Linked DNA regions of Oryctolagus cuniculus. Each later gene encodes a partner of the first gene's protein in a complex. Links are inferred from orthologs where the notes say so. Each region holds a gene or a part of one and is shown in the gene's direction. Other genes may lie near its edges.

Region 1 (4,298 bases):
ACATGGGACACTGCGTGGGTTGGAACAGGAAAAATGGAGAGAAAGTTTATAGCAATGTCTTCAAATATGTTCAACTTGTTACACAACTAAGATTTTAGAATGTTGTGCCTTTATATGTGGCAGAGATCAAGGAAAAGCTGGGCGAAGGACTAATGGTACAGGAGAGCAAACCCAAAGAGAACTGCCTGCTCAAGGCAGAGCTGGGTCCACAATCCTGGCTCTGAGAGCCTTCCCAGCACTGTTTCTATTTCCCTCGGTTTTCCATTGCCTCCTGAGCGGGGGCGGGGCAGTGTGCTAGAACCAATGAGTTGTCATTTCAAGAATGCATGGCTGCGCAGTGAGACACTGCCTAGGCAGGCGAGGATTTCTGAGGGAGGGTGTATTAGTCCCCTACCACTACTGTGCCAAACCACCACAGATGCGGTTGCTTACCGTGCTCACAACAGCACGGGCCTGGAGTCAGAAGTCTAAAATGGGTCATCAGGTAATTTTCTTTGTGGAGGCCCTAAAGGAGAATCCATTTCCCTGCCCTTCCAGCTTCTAGAAGCTTCTTGAGTCACGCCCCCTTCCTCCATCTTTCATTTCAGCAGCACAGCACCTTCCATCTGCGACTCTGCTTCCATCCTCACATCTCCGATTCTGACGTCTGCTGAGGACTCTGTGCTTATGCTGGGCCTGCCTGGATAATCCAACATAGTCTCCTGTCTCAAGGCTCCTAACTCGAATGGGGACCAGCCAGGTCCCTTTCACCACATAATGTAATATATCCACAGGGTCTGAAGACTGAGAGGTGGACATTCTTTGGGCCTGTTAGTCAACCTACCACAGAATATATCAGGAAGTGTTTACCGATGCACTGGTTTCAGAGATCTGAGTTCAAAATCTGACTTCAGCACCCACAAGGTACATGATCATTACCTTCGTTGAGACTTTGTTCCTTCATTCATAAAATAGAAATGCAATCCCAAAGTTGTCACAAGGATTTTCATTCATGGATATGAAATGTGTAACACACAGTACACCCAGGAAATGCAGCCCTATTAATTCAAAGAACTGCCAGATGAGGAGTCTCAGCAGCAAAGAACTCAGTGGAAGAGACCCTACTACCAAAGGAGAGAGTTGATCAAGTGACCTCCAAACTCCCTTCCGAGCTGAAAATGGGAGTAACATTTTCCTCCATGTTATTAGCAGGACCTCTTACCATCTTGATGGAGCCAATCACAAGGTAATCACTTTTTGGATAATCAACAGTTATCAGGCTCTGCCCTTTGCCCTCTACAGCCCTGGTATCTGATTTGTCTGCTGAGATTTGATCAGGGCAAAAAGCCTGGCCTGGTGTGCAATGATTGGCTGCACCAGGCAGCTGAGACCAGCGCACACTCCCTCCTTCACATCTGTCAACATACCTGGCTGCGAACAAGTTGCTGCCTGTGACCACTGGCTGCAGCGGCCAGAGAGCAGGAAAGAGATAGAAGGGAACAGCTCATTTTCATGCTTGGGGAAAAGCTGGAGCCTGTGTGGTTGCTTCCTCCCCACATCCGAAACTCTTCAGAGAGGATTGGGAGAACTGTGGACCATCCCTGTTGAATCAGGAAGGAAAGAAGGAAGAATCTGAAATACAAAGCAGCAATCAAGGTAAGGGATCAGGCTGGCCACTGGACCTTCTCTCCAGATTGCAAACAAGCTCCTTAGCTAGCCCTGTAACTACAGTGTCTCTGCCGGCCGTCTCCTTCAGGAGATGTGGTAGATGGGAGTTGGGGCGGGTGTTCACAGAATTCAATCATCTGACCATCAGCGAATTCTGGAAACTAGGTTGAATTTTCCTTCCTCGTTCTTGCTCCTCTAAAAATTGCTGTTGTTGCTCTTCTATGTATTTTGAAAATTCTGTAGGTTTATTCTCTTTCATGGTTTGAAAGCATACATGTGGCTTATTGGAATTTTTCCACTTTGGGTAGCTTTATAAACATGTCTTCATTCTAGAATTTTGCTTGCATGAGTTCTTCTTGCTTTCAAGATATAGCAGAGAGGACAGTGTACAGACAAGTCTGAGAAACACGCTGTCTATTCAGGCGCTGTCAATCTCAAATAATGGGATTTCCCAGGGAGCCATTGGCCTGCTTGCTTTGGTACCAAAGGAGTTAAAAGTCCTGAAATTACTGGAGCAGAATCAAGCCTATTTACCCAGGCTTATCAGACCAGGCAGCCAGGTCAATCATTTACCGGGGCAGGGCTCTTTCCTACCTTTGACAGAAGACCACCAGCTGATCCCCTCCACAGAATACACATGGCAACATCAAAGCAACATTCTCTGAGGCTTTACCCCATATTCTCCTCTGATCAAGTTAGTTTGTATCCTAACCCGAGGAGTAAACCCCACAAGGTCCCTCCCAGTTCAGCAAGACTCATGCACAAACCTGAGACTTCATATCACTAGGATAAAACATTGTGGCTTTAGAGAGCACTTTGCCTGTCAGTGGAGGTCTATATGGAAGAAAGTGGTCTAACTAAGGATCAAGTTATTAAGGGATTCTGATGGAGAATAAGGCTATGGAGTAATTATCAAAAAAGTGAAGTCTTTCTCTTCAGGCCTACACATTTTGTAAATATGTTATTTGAACCAAACATGGCCTCCTCTTCTTTAGGTCTGAAGGTAACTTCTTTAATTGCAGAAACATTGTCATATTGTCATCATGTATACCTGCCAAGCGTGTGCTATAGCTCTTGGATCTTATAGTTGTTAGTGATAGGGAGGCCCTTTTTTCCTGAAGTCCCTTGGGGTAAGGGATTGAATCACATATTAGACAAGGTCATGTTTGATTGTTGTCAATCATTTATGGAACTTAAGTGAATCCCTTCAGGTAAGGTCTCTAGCTGGAATTTTTAGTGGCTGAGGTAGTTAACCAGATGCAGGAGCTGAGGTCACTGCAGACACATTGCAACTTGTGTGATTTGGGACAAGTCTGTGGCAACCTTGCAGGAATGTTATGGACAATTACGAAATGCTGTGCAGATATTAAGTCCTGCAGAATATTAACTGTGTGTCTGGCTGGAAACTGGAATATGCTGTACATCATGCAAGTGCTGGAGGTGGTTTTGAAGGGAGCACAGAGCCTTGGGGCATTCAAGACATAGGCCAAATTTACTTACTATGCTTTAGGCTGCCTTAGGGACTCGCACACACAACTGCACTCTCCTTCCTGTGCAGCCTGGCTCAAAGCCAAAACCACAAAGGAAAACCCTGCGGTTCTATCCAGCTCTTCTTCCCATTTCGTATACATTGTAAATTAGATAGGAAGAGACTATCCCTGAGATGGACTTGATTAAATGGGCATTGTTATTCTCTTTAAATGCTGGAAAGTTAGAACACAGACATTAATTAATTTGCCCCGATTCATGCAGTTACTCCAAGGCTGACCCCTGGTTCTATTCATTTCTGCCTTGTTGCCAACCCATTGCTTCATGAGGCAATGGAGTTGAACACATGGAGACGCTAAAGGTCAACGGGATAAGGAAGTCTCACTAATAGAGTTAGAAGTTCTCCACTGGCCTCTGGATGTGCCAGGCCTAAGGCCAGGTGAGTGCCACTGTCACCAAAAGACCACCGTTTGACTGGAGTGGACCTGATTCTAGGGGACTTAAAAGCACAAACTGGCAGGAAGTAAAGGGACGTGTTTGTAATGGTGACTATCTCTGGACTCGTGTCAGTCCTGGATATTTCCCAGTAAACCTAGTGAATTCTCAAGCTAGATCCTGGGCCCTGTGTTTTCTCTAGACTCAAATTCATGAGCCCCAACTAAAATACCGCACCTGAACCGGATCCAGAGAAAGAATGGACTCCATCCCTACCCTCCCCTGAGAACTCAAGAATTTCATTATTAGATGTCCACTCATCCATATCCCAGTTGGGCGAAAGGAGGCTTAAAGCAAGAGGAACCATCAGCAGTCCATCATTTCAAGGCTCCCAGCTATTGCAATTCAAAGAGACCCAGGTTGGCTTGGAATCCAAATAGCTTGATGATGTCATTTAAGCTGTAAATGAGTAAACTACAGCAGCAAGTCTTCCTCCCCCTCTTCCTCCCAGGTTCACTTCTTTCAAATGCATCCTAAAATGTCCATGGATTGTCTGGCAGAACTTCCAAACAGACACAATGCCCAAGCCTTTACATAATCAAGATTAAGAAACACCACTGTGACGGGTGGTTGGCTAAACACCCTTGCATGAGGGCTTTCCTTTTTTTTATGGACTTGCCTCATGCATACTTCAAGAGTGTGAGGCATTGCAAAGAGGGACTGCATCA
Region 2 (3,500 bases), on another chromosome or scaffold:
GCTGCAGGCAGCGGCTTCACCTGCTGTGCCACCATGTCGGCCCCCTTGCCCTGCTTTTCCCGGGTGCATTAGCAGGGAGTGGATGTGAAGTGGAGCAGCTGGGACTCGAACCTGCGAGGACTGCTGGTGGTGCAGCTGCACTTAACCCATTGCTCCACAGCTGTGCCCTGGAACCCTGCAGTAGACAACATCAGGAGAACCTTCCCTTCCGGTCCAGGCGCTTGTCAGCGTGGAATCTTTAGTTCTTAGGTGAAAGAAAGTATTTCCAGGTGTGCCACATGGAGATTCTGTTAACTGTGCTCTGGGAGTAAGGGACTGTGTAACTCTCTTTGACTTAGGGGCCCATTTGAAAACCGGGACACTTTAAAGCCTGATTTAAAATACTGTTATGTAGTGGGTAAAGCGGGTAAAGTGCCAGCATCCCATTTGGGCGTCGGTTCGAGTCTCGGCTGTTCCACTTCTATCCCGCCTCTGCTGTGGTCTGGGAAAGCAGTAGAAGATGGTCCAGGTCCTTGGGCCTCTGCACCCATGTGGGAGCCCCGGAAGACACTCCTGGCTCCTGGCTTCAGATTGGCGCCGCCCCAGCCGGTGTGGCCAGTTGGGGAGTGAACCAGCGGATGGAAGACACCCTCCCCCAACCTTTCCTTCTCTCTCTGTGTAACTCTGACTTTCAAATAAATAAATGTTGGAAAAAAAGTACTATTATGGGCAGTGAATAAGCTTTTTAAGTGTCGTGGTTTAAAAGGCAGTTGTGGTGTGCTGACATCAGTCGGGTTGGAGTGATGTAAGTTTTGCTGGTGGTTGCTCTGTGATTTCAGGCCCGAGCTGTCTTGGAAAGAGAATTTAACAACCTTCTGGTCATGGGGACTGACCGGCGGTTTGATGAAGTAAGTTTCTGGTCTGATGTTTTTGAAATTTGTGTAAGATGTAACTTCCTTTATTACTCTCAGGGCAGCCACATAGCAAGGCCGTCTCTTCTCAAACTGGAGATAAATTTACTTGAGTTTAGCTTCGCTCTCCCAAATTCACAGCAAAAGAACCATTAAGAAACCAACATTTTCATGACACAGTTTTCTCTTCATTTTTGCCGTTAAATGTTCACACCTCTTTAGACTGATCCTCAGAGTGGAAACACTGGCTGCAGTCTGGGGCTGGGGCCTGGGTGTTGTGTTTCGGGGCAGCTGGGGTCCTGTGTCCCGGGCTCAGGGCTGCTGTGTCCCGGAACAACGTGAGTTTCTTCCTGTTTCACCCACTTATTCCCATTCTTCCTCGGCACTCAGTGAGGCTCCGGTTTGCCAAGGAGAATATAGAACCCATGTCTGCAGAGAAAGCTGGCATCACACAGACTTGTTTATGTTTTGACAACTCTTAGGACAAGCACAGCGCTCTGTCAGGAACGTGCTCTCTGTGCGGCGAGACAGGAAACGTGGCGACAAGTTAGCAGAGTGCTCGGGAGGATCCTGGGGCCGGCCCAGTCAGGAGCATGACCCTGCCCTTGACCCTGAAGTCTACCTGGTCATGCGGAAGGGGGTGCAGGCACAGAGAAAGCACAGGTTCCTGAGTCAGCACTGTCTGTCCTTCCTTTTTATATGCATTTCACTTCCTGTTCTTTCATCTCCAGGACGATGACAAGAGCTTTAGGAGAGCGCCTTCCTGGAGGAAAAAGTTTAGACCAAAGGACATTCGCGGCCTGGCTGCTGGGTCAGCAGAGACGCTGCCTGCAAACTTCCGTGTGACTTCCTCCATGTCTTCACCCTCTGTGCAGCCCAAGAAGATGCAGATGGACGGTACGTGGGGCCTCGCTCTGCGCCTCTGGGCGGGAGCTTGCGCGGTCTTGTGTCTGGGACATGAGTGGTCCGCAGCCGCCTGCGTCTGGGAGGGTGGTGCATGCTCTGATGTAACTGCCGCCAAGTTCTTGCTAACGTTTGCTATGCAGAGGTAGCGATGAGGCCCTCAGGCCACTCCCGTCTGTTGGGTCAGCGTGAGGAGCTCAGGTCCTCAGGTGTGCACCGGGCAGCACCGGCGGCTCCCTCGTGCCGTGGCAACGTGGCAGCCTCACACTACGTGACTTACATGGTTCATACCCAGGGCTTCTCTCCACCCTAATTTATTTGTTCATTTGAAAGACAGAGTTACGGGGAGGGGAGACAGAGTGGGAGAGAGAGAGCGAGCTTCCATCCACTTGTTCACTCCCCAAATGACCGCAACAGCCAGAGCTGGGCCTGACCAGAGCCAGGAGCTTTTCCAAGTCTCCAATGCGGGTGCAGGGGCACAAGCACTTGGGCCATTTTCTACTGCCTTCCCAGGTGCAGCAGGACTCGAACCAATGCCCATGTGGAATGCCAGTGCTGCAGGTGGCGACCTAACCCACTACACCACAGCGCCGGCCTGACTGCGTACATTTTAAATAGCACACAACTTCCTGCTTTAAAAGAAATTTGCTGGCTTATTTGAAGCAGAGGGGCAGTTCCCGCTTCTGTGAGGAGGTTTTCTGCTGTTCCGTGGCGTGCACGAGGGCAGGGAGGCAGAGGGTGAGCCTCGGGAAGTTGGCGGTGGCTCCAGCGGGCCCGAGAGCACCCCCAGGGCACTTGGCCCAGCACAGGCGAGAGCTGACAGTTGCTCTGCCTTGGCTCCATGACTGAGAGCCCGCCTGCCAGGGCTTGCGGCGGGCTCTGCCTCCAGTGGTGCGTGGCCTCGAGTGAGCCGTGGACAGTGCCTTCACAGGAGCGTCTTCCTCTCAGGGTGTCTGAGTATTAAATGAGCCGTCCAGGAACTGGCCCTCTGTCGGCTCTCACAGGCCCTTGAGGGAGCCCCGCTGTCCGGGGGGCAGCGCCCCTCCCGCTGGAAAGCTGTGCCCATGGGGTTTTAGAGTTTTTTCTGTCGTCAGCCCCTCCCTGAAGTAGGTTTGTAAATTTCACTCTCACTAGCCTGTGTAGGAATCCGAGAAATGTACATTTATATAAAGTCTTATTAAGCTGAGCACTTTTAAGTGAGGGTGGCTTACTTTTTAATAAAAAGGGTTTGTGTGCTTTGTTTTGCCCAGTTGGATACTATACTTGGGAGAGGGGGAATTACTTAGTGTCTTTTAATTAGCAACTTTTTAGAAAGTAGCATTTTCCCTCCAATGGGACCTGCGCGTAATTCTTATAAATCTGAACTCTGACTTGGCCTCTAACTTTGTCTCTGTGGACTCACTGAGTTTTCTGAATGGAGTTATTTTCCCTGTGGCTTCGATTTGTTTTCTTCATAAACTACATCTCCCCGTTAGACATTGCAGCAGCCGGCGCCGCGGCTCACTAGGCTAATCCTTCGCCTGCAGCGCCGGCACACCGGGTTCTAGTCCCGGTTGGGGCGCCGGATTCTGTCCTGGTTGCCCCTCTTCCTGTCCAGCTCTCTGCTGTGTCCAGGGAGTGCAGTGGAGGATGGCCCAGGTGCTTGGGCCCTGCACCCCATGGGAGACCAGGAGGAAGCACCTGGCTGCTGGCTTTGGATCGGCGCAG
Region 3 (3,500 bases), on another chromosome or scaffold:
GGGTACAGGGGCTTATGTTGGTTCAGTTCCATGGTTTTCCGTAAAACACGTTCTTTTGGAAGGACGTTGAATCTTCTGTGGTATCATTAGATAGAAAGCGAGTGGTCTTAGAGTAATTTTCAACTCCAGTGTGACTTCTGCCTTCAACTAGACACTAACAAACAAGCAGTACCTCCAGGGAGTGTCCGTACCTACTGAATGCACACTTGGTCGAAACTGGTGATAAGCCATGGATTGGCCTCGAGTTGCTTTTCATGCGGCTGTTCATTTTCCTGTAGTGACTTGGATATGCCATTTGCCAAGTGGACCAAGGAGCAAGTTTGCAACTGGCTTGTGGAACAGGGCTTGGGCTCCTACCTGAGTTCCGGCAAGCACTGGATTGCATCTGGCCAAACACTTTTGCAAGCTTCTCAGCAAGATCTAGAAAAGGTGATTGCTTCCCTGTTTGGTTTACGATCGGACCCTAAGAGAAAGCACGTGGAAGGTGGGGTTGTCTTCCGTTCCAGAAAGTGGTGTGGGTGGAGCCAGTACATACTCTTGCAAAAGTGTGGGTTCCCGGCTGCTGCTTTCTCATCTTATCTCCTGAACTTAGAGGAAGAAGCTGGTCTTGATGCGTCCTCATGGGATGCTTAGAAATGGCTAAATGTTTACATGAAAAATAATGCTATAGCTGTAATAACCTTAAACTCTGATCTCTGAAACTCGCTTTGTGACTTTATCTTCTCATTGTGGAATTCTACTTCACATTGCAAAGGAGAAAAATAGTGCCCTGCATTTTACGTCCGAGTGTTGGACATTTCTTCCCAATCAAGTAGCATTTTGCACAAAAAAGAGTAAAATTGCTCTTAGGCAAGCTGCAGTTTCTGTCTTGCAAAGAAAATGAGTCACTGAGGAATGTCTTCGCAGCCCATTGCACTAATTACAGCGGTCTTGGCTTCCTAGGGGGTCTTTTGTTCAGCAACATTTGATTTGTCCCAGTTAGTATTGTCCTTGCGTTTGGAATTGGGTCTTTGATGCTAGGAGTCTGCATCCCTGGGCAGTGGCGCCCAGCCCTTGTGGATAGAGTTATAAAGTCAGGGCTGCTGTTTCTCGTCGCAGGAACTTGGGATCAAGCATTCACTTCATCGAAAGAAGCTGCAGCTGGCACTGCAAGCCCTGGGATCAGAGGAAGAAACCAACCACGGGAAGCTGGATTTCAACTGGGTCACTAGTAAGAGGGTTTCGTTGTTTAAAAAAATCAGCATTGCTGCCTTCTCGGGGTGCTCACAGGAATGGGTGTTCCTGGGCCCCGTAACGACACTGTTACTCCCTTTCAGGATGGCTGGATGATATCGGCCTCCCCCAGTATAAGACCCAGTTTGATGAAGGACTGGTTGATGGTCGGATGCTGCATTACATGACCGTTGTAAGTGATTCACTCTGGGCTTTAGGGGAGGAAAGTTGTTTTCTGTCCGAAAGCACAGAAATGCAGTCAGGGACATACTGTGTTTCCAGAATGACTCCAACAGAATTTGAAGGTGTCGCTTTACCTTGAGGAGTGGGCAGGAGTATTTCCCGTGAGGTTGACGTTGCAGGATTTGGTGTTTGCAACAGCCTTAGGATGCCATGAAATCCCTGTGTAGGCTAATGTACCCTGAGCTGTCCAGAAAGTTGATTTCTTACATATTCAGCAGTGTAAACGTGGAAGTGTGTGCCGTGGGTGAATTTTATGGTGTGAATTATTTCTCATAAAGATATTTTAAAAATAGAAGGCTGAGTTTTAAAGCTTTGGCAGCTCGCGGGTTCTGCATCGTCCTATGCACTGACTGCTCGGAAGAGTTCCCCTTCGTACCTGACATCCTTTCGCCTTTCCCTGCCGTGTTGGACCGCTGTTACTGAAAAGTCTCACCCTCCTCCTGGCAGCCCAGTTCTGCTATAGCCGCTGGGACTGGGGTAAAGGAAGAGGGAAGCTAGAGTTCCACTCTGGTTCCTTCGTTCTCTCATTCGTGTGCATTTTCTAGCCTTGCAGCCAGTGAGTGGGAAGACTCTTCCCTATTTAACAGCAGTGGGAGGGATGAATCCCTGGAAACCTTGTTCTAGATTCCATGGCACTACTGATGTTCTTAAGATCTCTTTGTTTAAATAGCCCCTTTTGAGCTTGGCTTTGTGCCAAACCATCACAGTCCTCTTGAAATATGTAGAAAGTTTCAACCATCTAGCTTAAGTATGCATTTCTCAATATCGAACAAAGTTAGGGTTGCAAGGATTTGATCTAACAGTTTATATCCCCTTGTCTCATATTAGAGTGCCTGGATTCTAGTCCCAGCTGCAGTTCCTGATTCCAGCTTCCTGCAAATTCAGACCCTGGAAGGCAGCAATAATGGTTCAAGTAATTGGGTTCCTGCCACCCACTTAGGAGACCTGGATGGAGTTCCTGGCTCCTAACCCCAGCCCCAAAGCTGCTGAGGGCATTTGAAGAGTGAACCAGCAGATGGGAACTCTGTCTCTCTATCTGTCTGTCTCTCTTTCTCTCTCATAAATAAATGGGCATGAACTTTACAGAAGGAGAGAGACATTTGGAGTTCAGCTCCTGAGATTTGTTTCTTTCTCTTGTCATTGAACCAGAGTCCTTCTCTTTGGGCCCATCGTACCCCCCGTGTGTGTGGTGATGCCATTAGGTGTTGTATATTGCATGTCATAGCGTGCCAGATGGACTTCTGAGCATTTTACTCATGTTCATACTCAATTCTTACCCTTTTTGGTTAGTTCTATTATTGTCCGCACTTTTAGACCAGGAAACAAAGGAGTTGATAGATTAGGTAAACTGCGTTTCCACAGTTAGAAAGTGGTAGTAAGCCATAGGGGTTTAAATCCAAGCTCTGTTCAGATCCCTGCTCATAATAGCTCACTGTTCCATGTGGAACAAATTCAGCAAATATTTGCCTGCCTATCTAGGTGTGAGTGTGTTCCTCTCAGAATATCAGCGGAACAGGCTTAAAACCACAGGAAGCACATGGGTAGTTTGTGTGGCCCAAAAAAAAGAATAAACTGGCTTGGGAAATTTGACCCCAGACATTCTAAATCAAAAATTTGTTTTAATATGGTCTCCCAGATTAAGTCCTGGGACGGAAAAAGGGCTCTAGCAGAAGAACTGGTGAAGCTGGAATGAAGTCTGTAGTTTAGTTGATTGTATTATTATCCGTATTAATTTCTTAGTTTTGATAAGGGAAAGGTATACTTACAACTATACCATCTTTGGCATCTTTTCTATATATCAAATTGTTTTAAAACAAAGTTCTTAAAAATCCAAACATTTTAAAAATATTTAAACAAAATCTTTCTAGACTTAAGTGCATGATAAAGGAATCCCTCCTTTTAAACTCTTTCAAATTATAAGCATTTTGCCAAAGGTTAATACTTTATTTGCATTATAATCATTATACACTCAGATTTAAAAAAAAAAACAGTAGTAGATGAAAACCTTCAATGCAATGTTTGGAACGGATGTCTCAGTCTTAGAT

The links. The genes of interacting proteins can lie anywhere in the genome.
Region 2: PHLDB2 (region 1) and PPFIA1 share a complex: the UniProt entries of both Homo sapiens proteins name them as parts of the cortical microtubule stabilization complex. The link is inferred for Oryctolagus cuniculus from reciprocal best matches to the Homo sapiens genes PHLDB2 and PPFIA1.
Region 3: PHLDB2 (region 1) and PPFIBP1 share a complex: the UniProt entries of both Homo sapiens proteins name them as parts of the cortical microtubule stabilization complex. The link is inferred for Oryctolagus cuniculus from reciprocal best matches to the Homo sapiens genes PHLDB2 and PPFIBP1.

The regions. Positions count from the first base shown.
Region 1 is NC_091435.1:67,777,535-67,781,832, forward strand, and holds the start of PHLDB2 (pleckstrin homology-like domain family B member 2), read left to right. Parts: upstream 1-1,498; 5' UTR 1,499-1,635; intron 1,636-4,298. UniProt on the Homo sapiens protein: Seems to be involved in the assembly of the postsynaptic apparatus. May play a role in acetyl-choline receptor (AChR) aggregation in the postsynaptic membrane.
Region 2 is NC_091432.1:2,321,229-2,324,728, forward strand, and holds part of PPFIA1 (liprin-alpha-1), read left to right. Parts: intron 1-818; coding exon 819-887; intron 888-1,621; coding exon 1,622-1,787; intron 1,788-3,500. UniProt on the Homo sapiens protein: May regulate the disassembly of focal adhesions. May localize receptor-like tyrosine phosphatases type 2A at specific sites on the plasma membrane, possibly regulating their interaction with the extracellular environment and their association with substrates.
Region 3 is NC_091440.1:124,821,247-124,824,746, forward strand, and holds part of PPFIBP1 (liprin-beta-1), read left to right. Parts: intron 1-278; coding exon 279-429; intron 430-1,098; coding exon 1,099-1,210; intron 1,211-1,316; coding exon 1,317-1,405; intron 1,406-3,500. UniProt on the Homo sapiens protein: May regulate the disassembly of focal adhesions. Did not bind receptor-like tyrosine phosphatases type 2A.